Linked DNA regions of Struthio camelus. The protein of the gene in region 2 purifies or fractionates together with the protein of the main gene of each other region. This does not show direct contact. Links are inferred from orthologs where the notes say so. Each region holds a gene or a part of one and is shown on either strand. Other genes may lie near its edges. The genes, in order: COPS6 and RHOBTB1.

The links.
Region 1: the proteins of RHOBTB1 (region 2) and COPS6 purify together in Homo sapiens (affinity purification with mass spectrometry; 4 studies listed by BioGRID and IntAct, counting the BioPlex papers as one, with this or other methods). This does not show direct contact. The link is inferred for Struthio camelus from reciprocal best matches to the Homo sapiens genes RHOBTB1 and COPS6.

The regions. Positions count from the first base shown.
Region 1 is NC_090978.1:609,970-618,001, forward strand, and holds the start of COPS6 (COP9 signalosome complex subunit 6), read right to left. Parts: upstream 3,118-8,032; 5' UTR 3,067-3,117; coding exon of another isoform or gene 2,943-3,066; 5' UTR 2,924-2,942; intron 2,086-2,923; 5' UTR 1,995-2,085; coding exon 1,871-1,994; intron 1,217-1,870; coding exon 1,091-1,216; intron 1-1,090. Other genes in the region: lysophosphatidic acid receptor 5-like, read left to right, coding at 2,943-3,066, 3,694-3,779, 5,160-6,194; uncharacterized protein, read right to left, coding at 7,517-8,032. UniProt on the Homo sapiens protein: Component of the COP9 signalosome complex (CSN), a complex involved in various cellular and developmental processes.
Region 2 is NC_090948.1:36,261,484-36,268,725, forward strand, and holds the start of RHOBTB1 (rho-related BTB domain-containing protein 1), read right to left. Parts: upstream 3,242-7,242; 5' UTR 3,000-3,241; intron 1,391-2,999; exon of another isoform or gene 712-1,390; intron 1-711.

The DNA.
Region 1 (8,032 bases), on a different chromosome or scaffold from region 2:
GGTGGCCCTGCGACCAGTCCAGGGGACTTGGGGGGGGGCTCATCCAGAGGGTTGTGGGGACAGTCGGGGGGGGGGGGCAAGGTGGGCAGTCGAGGGGGGGCACCGGGGGCATCAGGGGGTGCCAGGCATATCAGGGGGTGGCGGGGGGCAGTCTAGAGCCACGGGGGGCAGTTGGGGGGCACAGTCGGCAGTCGGGGGGCACCAGGGGGCTGTCGGGGGGTGCCGGGGGGGCAGTCGGGGGACAGCCAGGGGGCACCGGGGGTATCGGGGGTGGTGGGTGGCAGTCAGGGGGCACCAGGGGGTATCGGGGTGGCGAGGGGCAGCTGGTCGGCAGTCGGGGGGTCTCAGGGGGTGGTGGGGAGCAGTCAGGGGGCACCAGGGGGTATCGGGGGCGGCAGGGGGCAGGCAGGGGATGGCGGGGGGCAGTCGGGAAGCAGTCGGGAAGTATCAGGGAGCGGTGGGGGGGTATTGGGGGTATTGGGAGGCAGTTGGGGGGTATCAGGGAGCAATTGGGGGGTATCGGGGGACAGTTGGGGGTATCAGGGGACAGTTAGGGGGTATCAGGGGCAGCTGGGGGGCAGTCAGGGGACACCAGGAGGTATCAGGGGGTGGCAGGGGGCAGTCGGGGGTATCTGGGGGTATTGGGGGCAGTGGGGGGCAGTCGGAGGGTATTGGGGGACAATTGGGGGGTATCGGGGGCAGTCGGGGGGTATTGGGATTGGCGGGGGCAGTCGGAGGGTATCGGGGGCAGTTGGGGGGTATCGGGGGGCAGTCAGGGGGTATCAGGGGTATTGGGGGGTGGCAGGGACAGTTGGGGGGTATCGGGGGTCAGTCGGGGGTATCGGGGGCAGTCAGGGAGGTATTGGGGTATCGAGGGGGCAGTTGGGGGTATTGGGGGGCAGTCAGAGGGTATCGGGGGGCAGTGGGAGGGTATTGGGGGAAGTCGGGGGTATGGGGGGGCAGTCGGGGGTATCGGGGTCAGTCAGAGGGTATCGGGGAGCAGTGGGAGGGTATTGGGGGCAGTCGGGGGTATGGGGGGGCAGTCGGGGGTATCGGGGGGCAGTGGGGGGGTATCGGGGGGGGGGGTTACCTTGCCCGGGGCGCCCCTCCTGGGAGCGCATGCGGATCCAGTGGTCGGAGATGTTGAGGATGACGAGGGGGTGCAGGGCCACCGAGACGCTGCCCGTCACCCCCGCTGCCATCACCGAGGGGGCCGCTGCGGGGGCACCGCGTCAGGGGGCTGGGGGCGGGGCCGAGGGGGGCTGGGGGCGGGGCCGAGGATGGTGGGGGCGGGGCCGAGGGGGGCTGGGGGCGGGGCCGAGTGGGCTTCTGGCCCCTGGGGATTTTTTTTTGTGTGTGTGTGGGGGGGAAATGCACGACTTGTGGGCGTGGCTATAGGATCTAGGGCGGGGCCGTTGGGGGTGGAGGGGCGGGGCCAGGGCCTGGGGGCGGGGCCAGGGCGATAGGGCCCTCCCAGGTGAGACACACACCCCTCCCTTCCCCCCCCCAAAAAAGGGCAGGGCCAGGGGAATCGGGGCGGGGCCAAGGGGATTGGGGCGGAGCCAAAGGGACTGGGAGGGGGTCAAATGGATTGGGGCGTGGCCAAAGGGGGTTGGGGCGGGGCCAAGGCGGGTTTGGGCATGGCCAGTGGGGGGATTGGGGCGGGGCCAAGGGGGGTTGAGGCGGGGCCAGAGGGGGCAGTGGGCGGGGCCTCAGGGGTGGGACCCGCGCCGGACCCGCAACGCCCGGGGGCGTGTCTAGAGTCGTGGGGGCGGGGCCAAGACCCGGGGCGGGTGCGGGGTGAAGCCGGCGCCGAGGCGGCCCCCGGCGCCAGGCCCGGGAGCCCGGTTGAAGCCCCCGCGGGCGGTACCTGCTGCGTCCACCTCCATGCCGCCGGTCCCGTTGCTCCCGGCCGCGGAGGAAGAGGCGCCGGCCGCCGCCATCTTGGCTCGGCGTGTCCCCGCCCGGCCGCCGTACTCAGCGCCTCTGCGCATGCGCAGAGGGCGTGGGCGTTGGCTGCGGGGGGGCGAAGCGGGCGCGCATGCGCCGCGGAGAAACGCGGGAGTGTCGGCGGGCGCGCATGCGCTGTCGGCGGGAAGGCGGGCGGAGGGAGGGGGCTGGTCACGTGCCCTGCCCCCCCCCCCGCCCCGGTTGTCCTCATGTCCCACATGTCCATGGTGTCCCCGTCCCCAGGTGTCCCCTTCCCCAGGTGTCCCCAGGCTGAACATCTCCATGGTGTCCCCATCCCCAGGGTTTCCCCAGGCCCCCACATCTCCATGGTGTCCCCATCCCCAGGACATCCTCGGCCCCAGGTGTCCCCATCCCCGGGCTGACCCCAGGCCTCCACATCTCCATGATGTCTCCATCCCCAGGTGTCCCCATCCCCGGGGTGTCCCCAAGCCCCACATCTCCACTGCGTCCCCGTCCCCAGGCCCCCACATCTCCATGGTGTCCCCATCCCCAGGTGTCCCCATCCCCAGGACGTCCTTGGGCCCCCAGGTTGCCATGACGTTCTCTTCTCCAGGAGGTCCCCGTCCCTAGGCGTCCCTGTGCCCAGGGTGTCCCCAGGCCCCATGTCACCATGACATCCCCATCCCCAGGATGTCCCCCTCCCCAGGTGTCCCCAGGCCCCATGTCACCATGACATCCTCGTCCCCAGGTGTCCCCATCCCCAGGTTGTCCCCAGGCCCCACATCTCCACGGTGTCCCCATCCCCAAGTGTCCCTGTGCCCAGGACGTCCCCAGGCCCCATGTCCTCCCAAGATGTCCCCGTCCCCAGGGCCACTCCCATCCCCAGGCCCCACGTCCCCCCAAGACATCCCCATCCCCAGGGCCACTCCCATCCCCAGGCCCCGTGTCCCCCCAAGACGTCCCCATCCCCACATGCCCCCCTCCCCGTGCCCGTCCCCGTGCCCGTCCCCACGGCGTCCCCGTTCTCCCGGATGTGGCGCGCCGGCACTTCTCCTTCGGGTGGCAGGAAGCCACCGAGCAGCCGGGAGTTTCAGGGGCAGCTCTGGGCCCCGTTTGGCCCCTCGTCACCACCCGGGGGGGCTCCGCCGGTGCCAGGTGAGTGCTGGGACCGGGGTGGGCAGCCTCCCAGTGCCTCCCAGTCCCACCCAGTCCAGCCTGGTCCCTCCCAGCACCTCCCAGTCCTTCCCAGCGCCCCTCCAGGCCAGCCCCTTGCTGCCCTTCCCGCCCAGTCCAACCTCGTTCCTCCCACCCAGGCCTTTCCCAATGTCTCTCAGTTCAACCCACTGCCTCCCAGTCCAACCTAAATCCTCCCCAGCGCCTCCCAGTTCAACCCAGTGCCTCTCACTCCACCCTAGTTTCTCCCAGACCCTTTCCGGTACCCCCCCCCAGACCAACCCTGAGCCTTGCGGTCCCCTCCCACTGCTCCCAGCCCAACCTAAATCCTCCCCAGTGCCTCCCAGTTCAACCCAGTGCCTCCCACTCCACCCTAGTTTCTCCCAGACCCTTTCCGGTGCCCCCCCCCGGATCTCATGGTCCCCTCTTAATGCCTCCCAGTTCAACCCAGTGCCTCTCACTCCACCCTAGTTCCTCCTAGACCCTTTCCGGTGCCCCCCCAGACCAATCCTGAGCCTTGCGGTCCCCTCCTACTGCCTCCCAGCCCAACCTAAATCCTCCCCAGTGCCTCCCAGTTCAACCCAGTGCTCCCCAGTTTCCACCTACCAGGCTTGCGTCAGGAGCTTGGCCCCAAAAGCACCCCGGGAGCAGCCACTCTGGACCCCACCAGGCACCCGGCGTGGGGAGGGAGCACGGTGAGTCCCCGGGACAAGGGGGACAGGGTGCGGGGGGTCCCCAGGGTGGGGGGTCCCTCCCAGGGGGGTCAGGGCAGGGAGCCAGGAGGCCCCCTGCAGACCTCCCAAACTCCCCGATCACCCCAAACACCCCGGGGACCCCCCCAGCTCCACAGCTGGGAGCCCCTTGGGACCCCAAATACCCTAGAGATCCCCTCAGGGACCCCCAAATATCCCAGGGATCCTCCCAAATACCCTAAGGACCCCCCAAACACCTCTGAGACCCCCTCAGGGCCTCCCCAAATACCTCAGAGCCCCTCCAGATACCCCCAAATGACTCTGAGACCTCTCAGGGACTCCCACATACCCCTGGGATCCCCCTAAATACCCCCAAACACCCCCGAGACCCCCTCAGGAAGCCTCCAAATGCCTCCGAGACCCCCCTCAGGGACCCCCAAATACCTCAGAGCCCCCCCCAAGTACCCCTAAGTGCCTCTGAGACCCCCTCAGGGATCCCCAAATACCCCAGGGTCCCCCCAAACGCCTCTGAGACCCCCTCAGGGACCCCCAAATACCCCAGGGACCCCCCCAAACACCTCCAAACACTTCTGAGACCCCCTCAGGGATCCCCAAATACCCCAGAGACCCCTCCAAACACCTCTGAGACCCCTCAGGGACCCCCAAATATCCCAGAGCCCCCCAGATACCCCCGAGTGCCTCTGAGACCCCCTCAGGGATCCCCAAATACCCCAGAGACCCCCCCAAACACCTCTGAGAACCCTCAGGGACCCCCAAATACCTCAGAGCCCCCCCAAATACCCCCAAACACCCCAAGACCCCCTCAGGGACCCCCAAATACCCCCCAAACACCCCCAAGACCCCCTCAGGGACCCCCAGAGACCACCCCCAAACACCTCCGAGACCCCCTCAGGGATCCCCAAATACCCCAGAGACCCCCCCCAAACACCTCTGAGACCCCTCAAGGACCCCCAAATACCCCAGAGCCCCCCAGATACCCCTAAGTGCCTCTGAGACCCCCTCAGGGATCCCCAAATACCCCAGGGTCCCCCCAAACGCCTCTAAGACCCCCTCAGGGACCCCCAAATACCCCAGAGCCCCCCCAGATACCCCCGAGTGCCTCTGAGACCCCCTCAGGGACCCCCAAATACCTCAGAGCCCCCCCAAATACCCCCAAACACCCCCAGACCCCCTCAGGGACCCCCAAATACCCCCCAAACACCCCCAAGACCCCCTCAGGGACCCCCAGAGACCACCCCCAAACACCTCCGAGACCCCTCCCCAACTCCTACCAACCCCCCTCAACCAGGCTCCCGGGCAGGTCGGACCCCCCCCCCCAAAAAAAACAAACAAACCAACCCCCCCATCCCATCCCATCCCCAGGCCCCCGCCGCCACGGCCATCCTGGAGCCGCCGGGCCCGAGCGGGCCGGCGCCTTGCGCCAACTGCACGGCGGGCGCCAACCCGGCCTTCGCCGCCCTCTACGGCCTCATCTTCGCCCTGGGCCTGGGGCTGAACGGGGCGGCGCTGGCGTTGCTGGGCCGGGGCGGGCGGCCGGCGGCCCCGACGGCCACCTACCTGCGCAACCTGGCCGCCTGCGACCTGCTGCTGGTGGCGTCGCTGCCGGCCCGCGTGGCCCATTACGCCGGCCGGGCGGCTCTGCCGCGAGCCGCGTGCGAGCTGCTGGGTTGGTTGCTGCTGGTCAACATGTACGGCAGCATCTTCCTGCTGACGGGCCTCAACGGCGACCGTTGGGCGGCCGTCTGCTTGCCTTTACACGCCGGCGCGGCCCGTTTCCGGCGCCGGGCGGCTCTGGTGTGCGCGGCCGCTTGGGCGCTCAGCGCTTTGGGTTGCGTGCCGGTCTACGCCGCCGGCCGGCGAGCGGCGGAGGAGGCGACGACGGCGGCGGAGGCGACGCGCTGCTTCGACGAGCGGCCCCGCTACATCACGCAGCCGGCCGTGGCTTGGGCCATGGCGGCGGCCTTCGGCCTGCCGTTGGCCGTCGTGGTGGGTTGCTCGTGGGCCCTGTTGCGGGCCGTGGGGCGCAGCCCGGCCGCCCGCATGGCTTTGCTGGACGGCGCCAAGGTGAGGCGCATGGTGCTCAGCCACGTGGCCATCTTCTTGGCGTGCTTCATGCCTTTCCACGCCGTCCTGCTCTGCTACCAGCTACGCGCCGCCCCAGGGCCGGCCCTCGACCAAGCCTACCGCTGCACCCTGCTCCTCGCCTGCACCAACGCCGTCCTCGACCCTCTCGCCTACTACTTCGCCGCCGAGTCCTTCCCGCGCTCCGTCGCGACGCCCGTCACCTCCCCGCGACCGGCCCGGGCAGCTCAGGCCACCACCGCCGCTGCCACGGTGCTTGCCGGTTCCTCCACCCCGAAGACGCCGGCGACCTGGGGTTTCCGGTGTTGGCGGTGAATAAAAGGGGATGTGTCGCAATGGTTTTTCCCCCCCTGCCCCACCCCACGCCACCACCAACCACCGCTGGGTTTGGCGTGGTTGGGGACAGGAAGGGACGGCGATGGGGGACAGATGGGGACTGGGTTGGGGGACAGGAGGGGACGGCGATGGGGGACAGATGGGGACCAGGATCGGGGACAGGAAGGGACCACGATGGAGGAGAAGAGGGGACCATGATGGGGGAAAGCAGTGGACAGGGATGGGGGACAGATGGGGATCGGCATGGGGGACAGACAGGGACCAGGATGCGGGAGAGGAGGGGACCTGGATGGGGGACAGATGGGGACCTGGATGGGGGACAGACAGGGACCACGATGGAGGAGAAGAGGGGACCACAATGGGGGACAGATGGGGACCGGGATGGGGGGACAGAAGGGGATCGGCATGGGGGACAGATGGGGACAGGGATGGGGGACAGATGGGGACCTGGATGGGGGACAGGAAGGGACCACGATGGAGGAGAAGAGGGTACCCCAAGACAGATGGGGACTGGGATGGGGGACAGGGATGGGGGACAGATGGGGATCGGCATGGGGGACAGACAGGGACCAGGATGGGGGAGAGGAGGGGACGGGGATGGGTTACTGGGATGGAGGAGAAGAGGGGACTGGGATGGGAGACAGATGGGGACCGGGGTGGGGGACAGGAAGGGATGGTGATGGGGTAGAGGAGGGGACAGGGATGGGGGACAGATGGGGACTGGGATGAGGGACAGATGGGGACCGGGATGGGGGACAGGAGGGGACCTCAATGGGGGAAAGCAGGGGACAGGGATGGGGGACAGATAGGGACCACAATGGGGGACAGATGGGGACCGGGATGGGGGACAGACAGGGCCTGGGATGGGGGGCAGGAAGGGACAGGGATGGGGGACAGGAGGGGACCGGGATGGGGGACAGGAGGGGACCACGATAGGGGTCAGCAGGAGACATGGATGGGGGACAGACGGGGATGAAGATGGGGGACTGGGATGGGGGACAGATGGGGGACAGGGATGGCGGGCAGACGAGGACCGGGATGGGAGAGAGGAGGGGACCGGGATTGGGGACAGAGATGGAGGACAGCAGGGGGATGACGAGGGGCAAACGGGGTCTGGGGACGCGAGAGAGACGCGAACTGCGATGGGGGACCAGCAGGGGACGAGCACGGGGGACAGAAGCGGGATGAGGACGGGGGACAGGAGGCCACGCGGCTGGAGGGGACAGCAAGGGACGGAGCAAGAAGGGACCCTCATCCCGGCACCTCCATCACGCTCCGACGCCGGCTGCCTTCTCGGGACTTTATTCCTCCCTGTCCCCCTCCTCTCCCACCACCTCCCAGCGCTCCTCATCCAGCACCCGATAGTTACGGCGGCGATAAACGTCGGCGCCCAGCTCCCAGCTCCGCCGCGTCGCCTCGTAGAGGCCGCGCAGCACCGGCGGCAGCGGGGCGAAACCCCCGAGCCGCGCCAGCTCGGCGCAGTAAGCCCATTGCGCCGACCCCAGGCGGTGCAGGTGCCGCGGGTCGCCTCCGGCTTCGCCGTATCGCTCCAGCTCCTCCTGAGCTTCCCGCCGCAGCGTTTCGCCCGGCGGCAGGTTGCAAGCGCCCGCCAGCACCGCCAGGAAGAAGAGCACCTGGCAATGGAAGAAGGCGAAGGGGCAGATACGGCTGCAAAGACCCACCAGGGCCAACGTCGGGTGACACGGCGGCAGCATGTGCCGGTAGAGCGGCGTCACCGACCGCTCGGTCACCCGCAAGCCCAAAGCTTCGGCCGGCAGGAAGGGGAAGGAGTAAGCGTAACCCGTGCACAGCAGCAA
Region 2 (7,242 bases):
CACAATGAAACAAAACCCAAAACAATGAATGAAACAGCGGTATTTACCGCACACCGGAATCTCAAGCTGTTTAAATACCTATTTATGTGACACTGTACCATTCATAAACGTTAATTTGTTTCCTCAGTAACAATGCCAGATTAGAAGTCATTTCTAGCTTCTTTCAGAATATCCCTTTTTAAAGGGGGAACTGATTTATCTGATCATAAACTCAGAGCTTTCTATTTTTATTTCATTGCGATCTCATCCATTTCAACCAGCTTTTCTCAGCTTTGTCCTGATCAAAATCCACAGACATGGCTTCCATTGACACATTAAGATCCTTCTCATTCTCAGGCAGATATGCAAAGTCCTTCCACTAGCTCATTCATGATTCTTATTCAGATGTCATTAATTATTCACATTATTGTCCTGGTAAAGGCCACATTCAGATTCTCCTGCTTGCAGAGAGATTTTTAATTGTTACACTGTAAAGTCAACCGCATTGTTTAAAGAGTATAAACAGACAGAAATGTAGTTAAACCTGATTTTCATCATTACTAAAGCATAAGCCTAAATGTTCAACTTCATAGAAAAGGATTCTGCCCCCCACCCCCATCCTACTTCCATTTTCTGGTTTGGAAGATAGTTTGGACTGTAAAAGAAAAGTTTTAATCTTAATTAGTATTGCATTACCTGATTACAACTCCAATTTACAAAGATTTCCCTTACCATGGTAAAAGTGGCCATGTGATGACAATCTATTCTGTGATCTCAGAAATCTTCTATTTCTGTGATGACAATCTGGACAACACAGCAGCTAAACCAGGCATGCAACTTCCTTATCTGAGTCCTGAGGAGCTCGTAGCTGAGAAGACAGCTGGCTTTATGCAACTCTCATCCTGTGCGTCTGCCCTGGAGAGCACCAGTTCTGGTAGTGGCAGCACAGTTCCTTCCCTCTGCCACACGCTCCTCGTCCAGACAGGAAACACGCTGCCACCTGAACTAATGCTTACGCACAGCTAGTCAAGGGCTTCAGAAATACACTGGATTTATAGTATGCCTGTGACAGCTGTTCTGTGCATGTGTACTATGGTGCTGCCTGCAGATCACAGTAAGTTTAAGAAAACTAAAGATAGCTGCAGCAAAGAGTAATTCAATGAGAGATGGATTTATATGGTCTACCTCTCCATGGGGCAGAACTTCCTTTACTTGGGGAGAAGCGCGGGCAGGTGGCTCTTGCAGTGGGGCTTGGCAGGCAATATAATTGCAACTGAAAGAAGGCCCAGAAGGAACACAGACGAGACTATGTGAAACGCTGGTCTCTCTGGATGGCTCCTCAGGATCAGTGCATAACCCAGGATGCGCGACCTGGCCTAGAAGCCTCTTCTGCCATGGAGAAGTTTTTCCTCTAATGCAATGACAGTAGAGAAAAACTCATGGAAAACTCAGCCTGATTTTCTCTTCAAACCTACCCCAATTTTACCTTCGAGTTATTTGATAGCCTGTGTTGGTCCAGTCTATTCTTCTCCCAAAATTCCCCCCTCCCCCTTTTTTGTAAGGATTATTACCAAATTAACAACAACGCAGAATTTTACGCTCCCAGTGTATTTAAGAGCTTCCTTCTACACCAGACTAGCCTGTCATCTCTGCAAATTGGTTTAAGGTTTCTGTAACATTACATATTTTCATTATGTCTGCTCAAAATCTCTTCACCAAGCTTCAAGGGTTTATGTGGAAGAGTGGCTACTTACAAATATGATTGTTCTCTTTTGTTTAATATGGTCTTACTTTAAGTCTTTGTCTTTAAAAGTTCAAATATCGGAAGAAGTAAAACAAAGAAGAGATCTTTACCTCCTTATTACCATAATCTTTCCTATGACACCCCACCGTTGCTGTACGTGGCTTAAAAGACAGTAGAAATGTTATTTCCCATTGACACCTAAGCCAATACTTCCTCTCAACAAATTCTCAAACCCTTAATGTTTCACAACCTGCAGTACATACAAATGCTTTACCTTTTCTGCTTCAGTTTCAAAGAAGGTGTCTTTACCTGATATCTCCCTTACAGATCTAGCATTTTTTCCCTGTTTTGACTACACAGATAAAAGTAACTGATCACGTGTGATTGCCATTAACCTGCTACCTCAGGAATAGCCACAACGATTCAGTTAAATAGCAGCTAAACAAAAACATTATGCGCTGAAGTTTTAACTTCTTATACTCCCAGGGTAGGGAAAAGTTTTCCCCTTCCTTGTTTCTCTTTTCTGATAACTGCAAAAGGGCAGGATTTATCCCACTGCTTCTCCCCCAGAGCTCCTCAGTAACTCTGAGGAAAAGAAGGGGTTCTCTATCTTCACCCTTCTGCCAGTGTTTCTGGAGATACATCCTCCTTCCTAACCGACTCCTCTTGCATCTGGTTCTCTTCATACATTTGTGTTATGTACCAATTGCAAATTTCATTCATGTGATGCAGAGACCCATTAATAATTTAAGATAAAAAAGAAACCCAAGGGCAGGAAAATTCCATTTTTGCTCATGTGATGGATGCTACTTCGCTAGTGCGTCAGCTCCAGTTATCTTCGTGCATGCTACGTTAATTCACTAAATTGCTTTTCAAACAAAGCACGTTCAGAAAGCGCCTGGAGAACGTATATGAGAGGAAACTTTAATTTTTCTGGCGAGCGCGCCAGATCGACATCCAGAAAGAGCAACGTGAGCAGGTTTTGGCTTTGCTCTGCCCGTCAAGAAGAGGGGGCAGCCAGAACCCAGGGCGCGGAGAAGCCCTCCTCACCACGGCAGAGCCTAGCACGAGGTACCTCCAAGCACCCCTCACACCGCGTTAACCGCGGGAGTTAAAAACGCCCGCCAGCGCAGCAGCTGGGCCGGGGGCTGCCGGCACGCCCGGAGGCGGTGTCAGCGTTTTCACCCGGCTCCGGGCCGGGACGCCGGCTCCCGCCGGCCGGACGTGGGGTCCCTCCCGCCCTCAGCCCCCTCAGGGCGCCCCCACCCCACCTCACCTCAGCGCCGAGCGGGACCCGCCGGGGACGCGGGAGAAGCACCAGCCGCCGCCGCCGCCTCTCTGCTCTGCTCGGCTCGGCCCGGCCCAGCCCAGCCCGGCGGGACCCGCCTCCTCGGCGGCGCGGCCCGGGGCGACCCGCCGCAGCCCAGCCAACCGGCCCGCGGAGGGGCAGGCAGGAGGGGGCTGCGCCGGGGCGTCACGTGAGCGCGCGCGGCACGCGGTGCCGTTGCAGCCGTTGGAGCCGTTGGCGGCGCGCGGCGCGCGGCGCGGGGGGGAGGGGCGCGGCGCGGCGCTCTGTGGTGATTCCCGCCTTGCGCAGCCCAGGCGAGGCGCGAGGGCTCCGCGCGGAGCCCTGGTCCCCGCTGTCCCCTCAGGTTCTGCCGCTGGGAAGAACCGTTTCCAAGAACTGAGGTGCTTCCCGGGCGGGAAATCCTGCGTGCTTTGAGGCGGCCCGTCGCGGGGTGAGGGGCGAGCCGGCCGCGGCCAGGGGCGCAGCCCCCCCGCCGGCGCTGGGGCTGCCGTGCCTTCTCACTGCCTGTGCTCAGTTTTTTTGGTTTGTTTTTTGTTCTTTAATCTCTTTAACACGGCTTGTGCGGGTGCTTGGAGGATTGGTGCTCTAAGGAAAGGCAGGCTGCAGGGCAGGGCTGGTGTGGGCTGGCTGCAGACCTGCTGCCGCACGTAGCACTGATGGGTGACCTGGGGTCTGCGGTTAGCAGCTGCCATACAGGCTGCTAATTGACCTGTATATACACTGCAGTCGCTGGTGAGTACGGAGGCCCAAATTTCTGTTACTCAAGGCAGCCAGGTTAAGTCACAGTTATCTTCAAAATTCACTTGCCAGTTTAAAGCAACTGAAACTTCTGGATACCCTCCAAAAGGGAAATTTCCTCTCCTCCTCTTGAATGTGGCTAACAAGGAAACCTGCACTCTCCATAAGCAAACAGAAGAGGAAGTGTTGAATAATTGCAAGTTCAGGTCCTTTCTATTCTTGTCTGCTGAGTAAATTCACTATGTTGTTGACCTCAGTTTCCTCTGCAAAGAATTCCACCACTGTGTTGTGACTGAAAAACAATGCTAAGTCTATTTGACTTCAAAAATGCTTCCCATTTACACTGTCCTCATGGTATCTGGCATCTCTGTGTCAGTCATACGCTAATAGGACTCTTGAGAGGGAACAATAGTGGGAAGTCATAAGCAATCTAGCTCTATACAGTATTTAAGAGAGTTGAAGAGCATATTGTTGAAGTGCTTAATAAAGTTCAGGGAATGGCCCAGTAGCCTGGTATTAAAGTAACCTTATTTGCTTCTTTGGTGTTTTGGACTTGATGTTCAGTCCTGGGCCTTTCTGTGTGTGGGATCAGGAGTTTGGAGGGCTCTGGAGACCATGTACTCAGCCTTTTCCGCAGTTGCTTCACAGTGATTTTTCAGGTTGATCATGGAGTGCTACTCACAGCGCAGCTCTTCTAGGCTGAAAATGTGATATAGGGTCTACAGACAGCAAAGAGCTGGCAGCATTACAAGTAGAGGCAGACTTGCTGTCAGAATGCTCTCCTGTTTGAATGGCAGAGGAGAGGAACTTCTGTTGCACTATGTCAGTCATCCTTCTGTTCGGAAGTAATAAACCTAGCCCCCAAATTATGAAATTCAGAACAGGAATGGGATTCAGTGAATGTGCCTTCTGTTTTGATCCTTTATATTTCATGGGCTCCATCTTTCCTGTGGAGTTGTGAAGCCCAGGAACGTACGTGCCTGCATGCTATACCAACGTGCCTGAGCTGTGCAGCTGGGTAAAGGAGCCTGCGTGGAACTCCCTGCTGCCTCGACTGAACTGCCGTCAGCACATATGTTACTGCTTTAGAGAATTGCCAAGCACGGGTGTAGCCTATGCTTTAACTTTATAAAAGAAATGTGGGAGGATAATCATAGGATTCCAGGAGCTGGGTCTTAAAAAATGAAACTTGGTATTGTGAACCCCTAATTAAGGGAAAGAAAAGTGTTAACAGCTTGGCTGCATTTTAGGATTTTAGATAAATCCTGAAAATGGCCTTTGCTGGATGTGTTATATCAAGGAAAAAGAAAGATTGAGTCATTGTTACTCCTCAGTAATGGAAGGATTATTTTGTTTGGAAAGAGTTTATTCGGAGCTCTGGTAACTCATGTTTAGAGCCCTAGTGAGGAAGCTTCCACAGCGCTTCCACAGCATTTGTGTGCAGAAGGTGTAGTTGTGCAATTTCAATTAGTACAAACAAACCTTGTCTAAAATCCTGTAACTTGTGCTAGAAACGTGTCCCTAACTATCATTAGCAAGGCAATTTGAGCAGACAGCTGAGCTCACGAGGTTATCATCTACATCTCTTCAGAAGATGGCCTCAAACCTTGTATTGGCTAACGTTTCTAGCTCTGCTAAGCGAGCCCCGTGTAAGATAAAAATCAACCCACATAGCAGGTCATATGCTTTGCTTTACATCGGCTGCTTTTTGTGAACACTGAATGACTTACTTCTATTTCATCTATTTCTTTTAGCACTTCAGAATGAATTGAGTGTGTGTGAAAGGTGCTTGATTGACGGTTCTGGAAATTGAACTCCCAAGTTCAATCCCAGTTTTGTTGCAGCACAAGCAAGCTTCTCAGTGCTGCCCTCGAGGAAACACTGCTAGGTTGAGAGTAGTCCCTTCACTTACTTGCTTGTGCCAGCAAAGGTGGTATTTCCTGAGGACTGTGACTGACAATACACTTGAAGCTGGAGAAGAGTCACTAAGATTTAAAACATGGGAACACGTGGCTAGGCCAAATAGGATTTGATGAGCTTTTCAAAAACAGTGCAAATTGCCTTTAGAAACCAACAAAGAAAATATGGCTGCTTGGTTCTGCCCATCAGCTGCTGCATAAACTGTCCGTCTCTACAAAAGACTTTGGATTAGAGTGATCACATAGGAAATTACACAGTGTGAGTAGTCCTTATAGAGAACACTTCATTATAATGATTAATCACTGATTTCTACAAAATTATATTTGCAAGATAGATCAAGATATAATGATAATATAAATAGGAATAGCTATTGTCTTTATAGGCGCACCAACTTTTCAAGGGGTTTAGAAGTAATATAATTTGATGGCTTTCCAATAATCTCATTAAATATCAGGCTGATTGTTGCTTTCTTACAAGGAAAAGCTAAAGATATTTTTTATAAAGCAATATCAGGATGCTCAAAGTTTGCTAGATTTTTTTTTTTCCTAGCAAATAGAGGAAAGCAAAGAGTACGTAAGGAAATTTAGGCCTTTGGAATAGTTATTTGTCTCTCAGTTAATGGAGTATATTCTGTAAGTTATCAGAAACTGTCCAAACGGTTCCAAGCTGTCAAGTTGTTTTTTCACTGCCCTGTAGTTACTATCTAGGATATTTTTGTTTCATGAAAACTATGCTTTGGATGACTATGTAAATTTAATTCAGAAACAGTAACTATTTAGTGACTCATCTGCTTTTTAAAGTATGATTAGCTTATTTCAGCCTTAAACTACTGTTAAACAGTAGCATGGAAAGCTAATGGTTTTTGCATAAGGCTTATTCTGTTTTCACCAAAGTTTCCTCTGTTATATATATTGATTTTGCAAACAGAAATTCATTTCTACTTCTAACATGCAATTTCTTTTGTGTACAAAATTACAGTGTTGAAGCTGTAAGCAGACGCATGTGATATTACCCTCCGAAGTGGACGTGGAGTAGATGAGCAGCAGCTGTGTAAGTTTTAGGCTTCCAGGACTAGATGCCAAAGCTTTTTATTAAATTTACTGTTAAGAATAATTGCTGCTGACAGTATCTCTTGAACTCAGTCACAAGGCACACTGAGACCAGTCGTGATGTCGAGATTATGATTACGTTGCTCACCATTCACAGAAGATACTGTGATGACAAAAATATTTATGGTTGTGAGTCTTTTCATTGCTGCATCATTGTAGATTAACTGCCATTACCTTATTCTGGCTACAGTAGTCCCAGATGACTCATGTCTTCCATTATCAATCTGGGTTCTTAAAGGTTAATAGATGTGGGGAGAGGTTTTTGTTCTGTAGAGAAGTAATGTAAGATCTGTTCTGTAGTGTTTCATGCATTTGTCCTTTTCTTCAGCGTGTACTGTGTGCATAGCATGGAGGTGGACTTCCTGAGCTTTCTGAAACTCCTAATGCCTGTTTCTGAGCACTACATGGGAGTATAGGTCTCAGTGAAATTTAACAGAGCATAG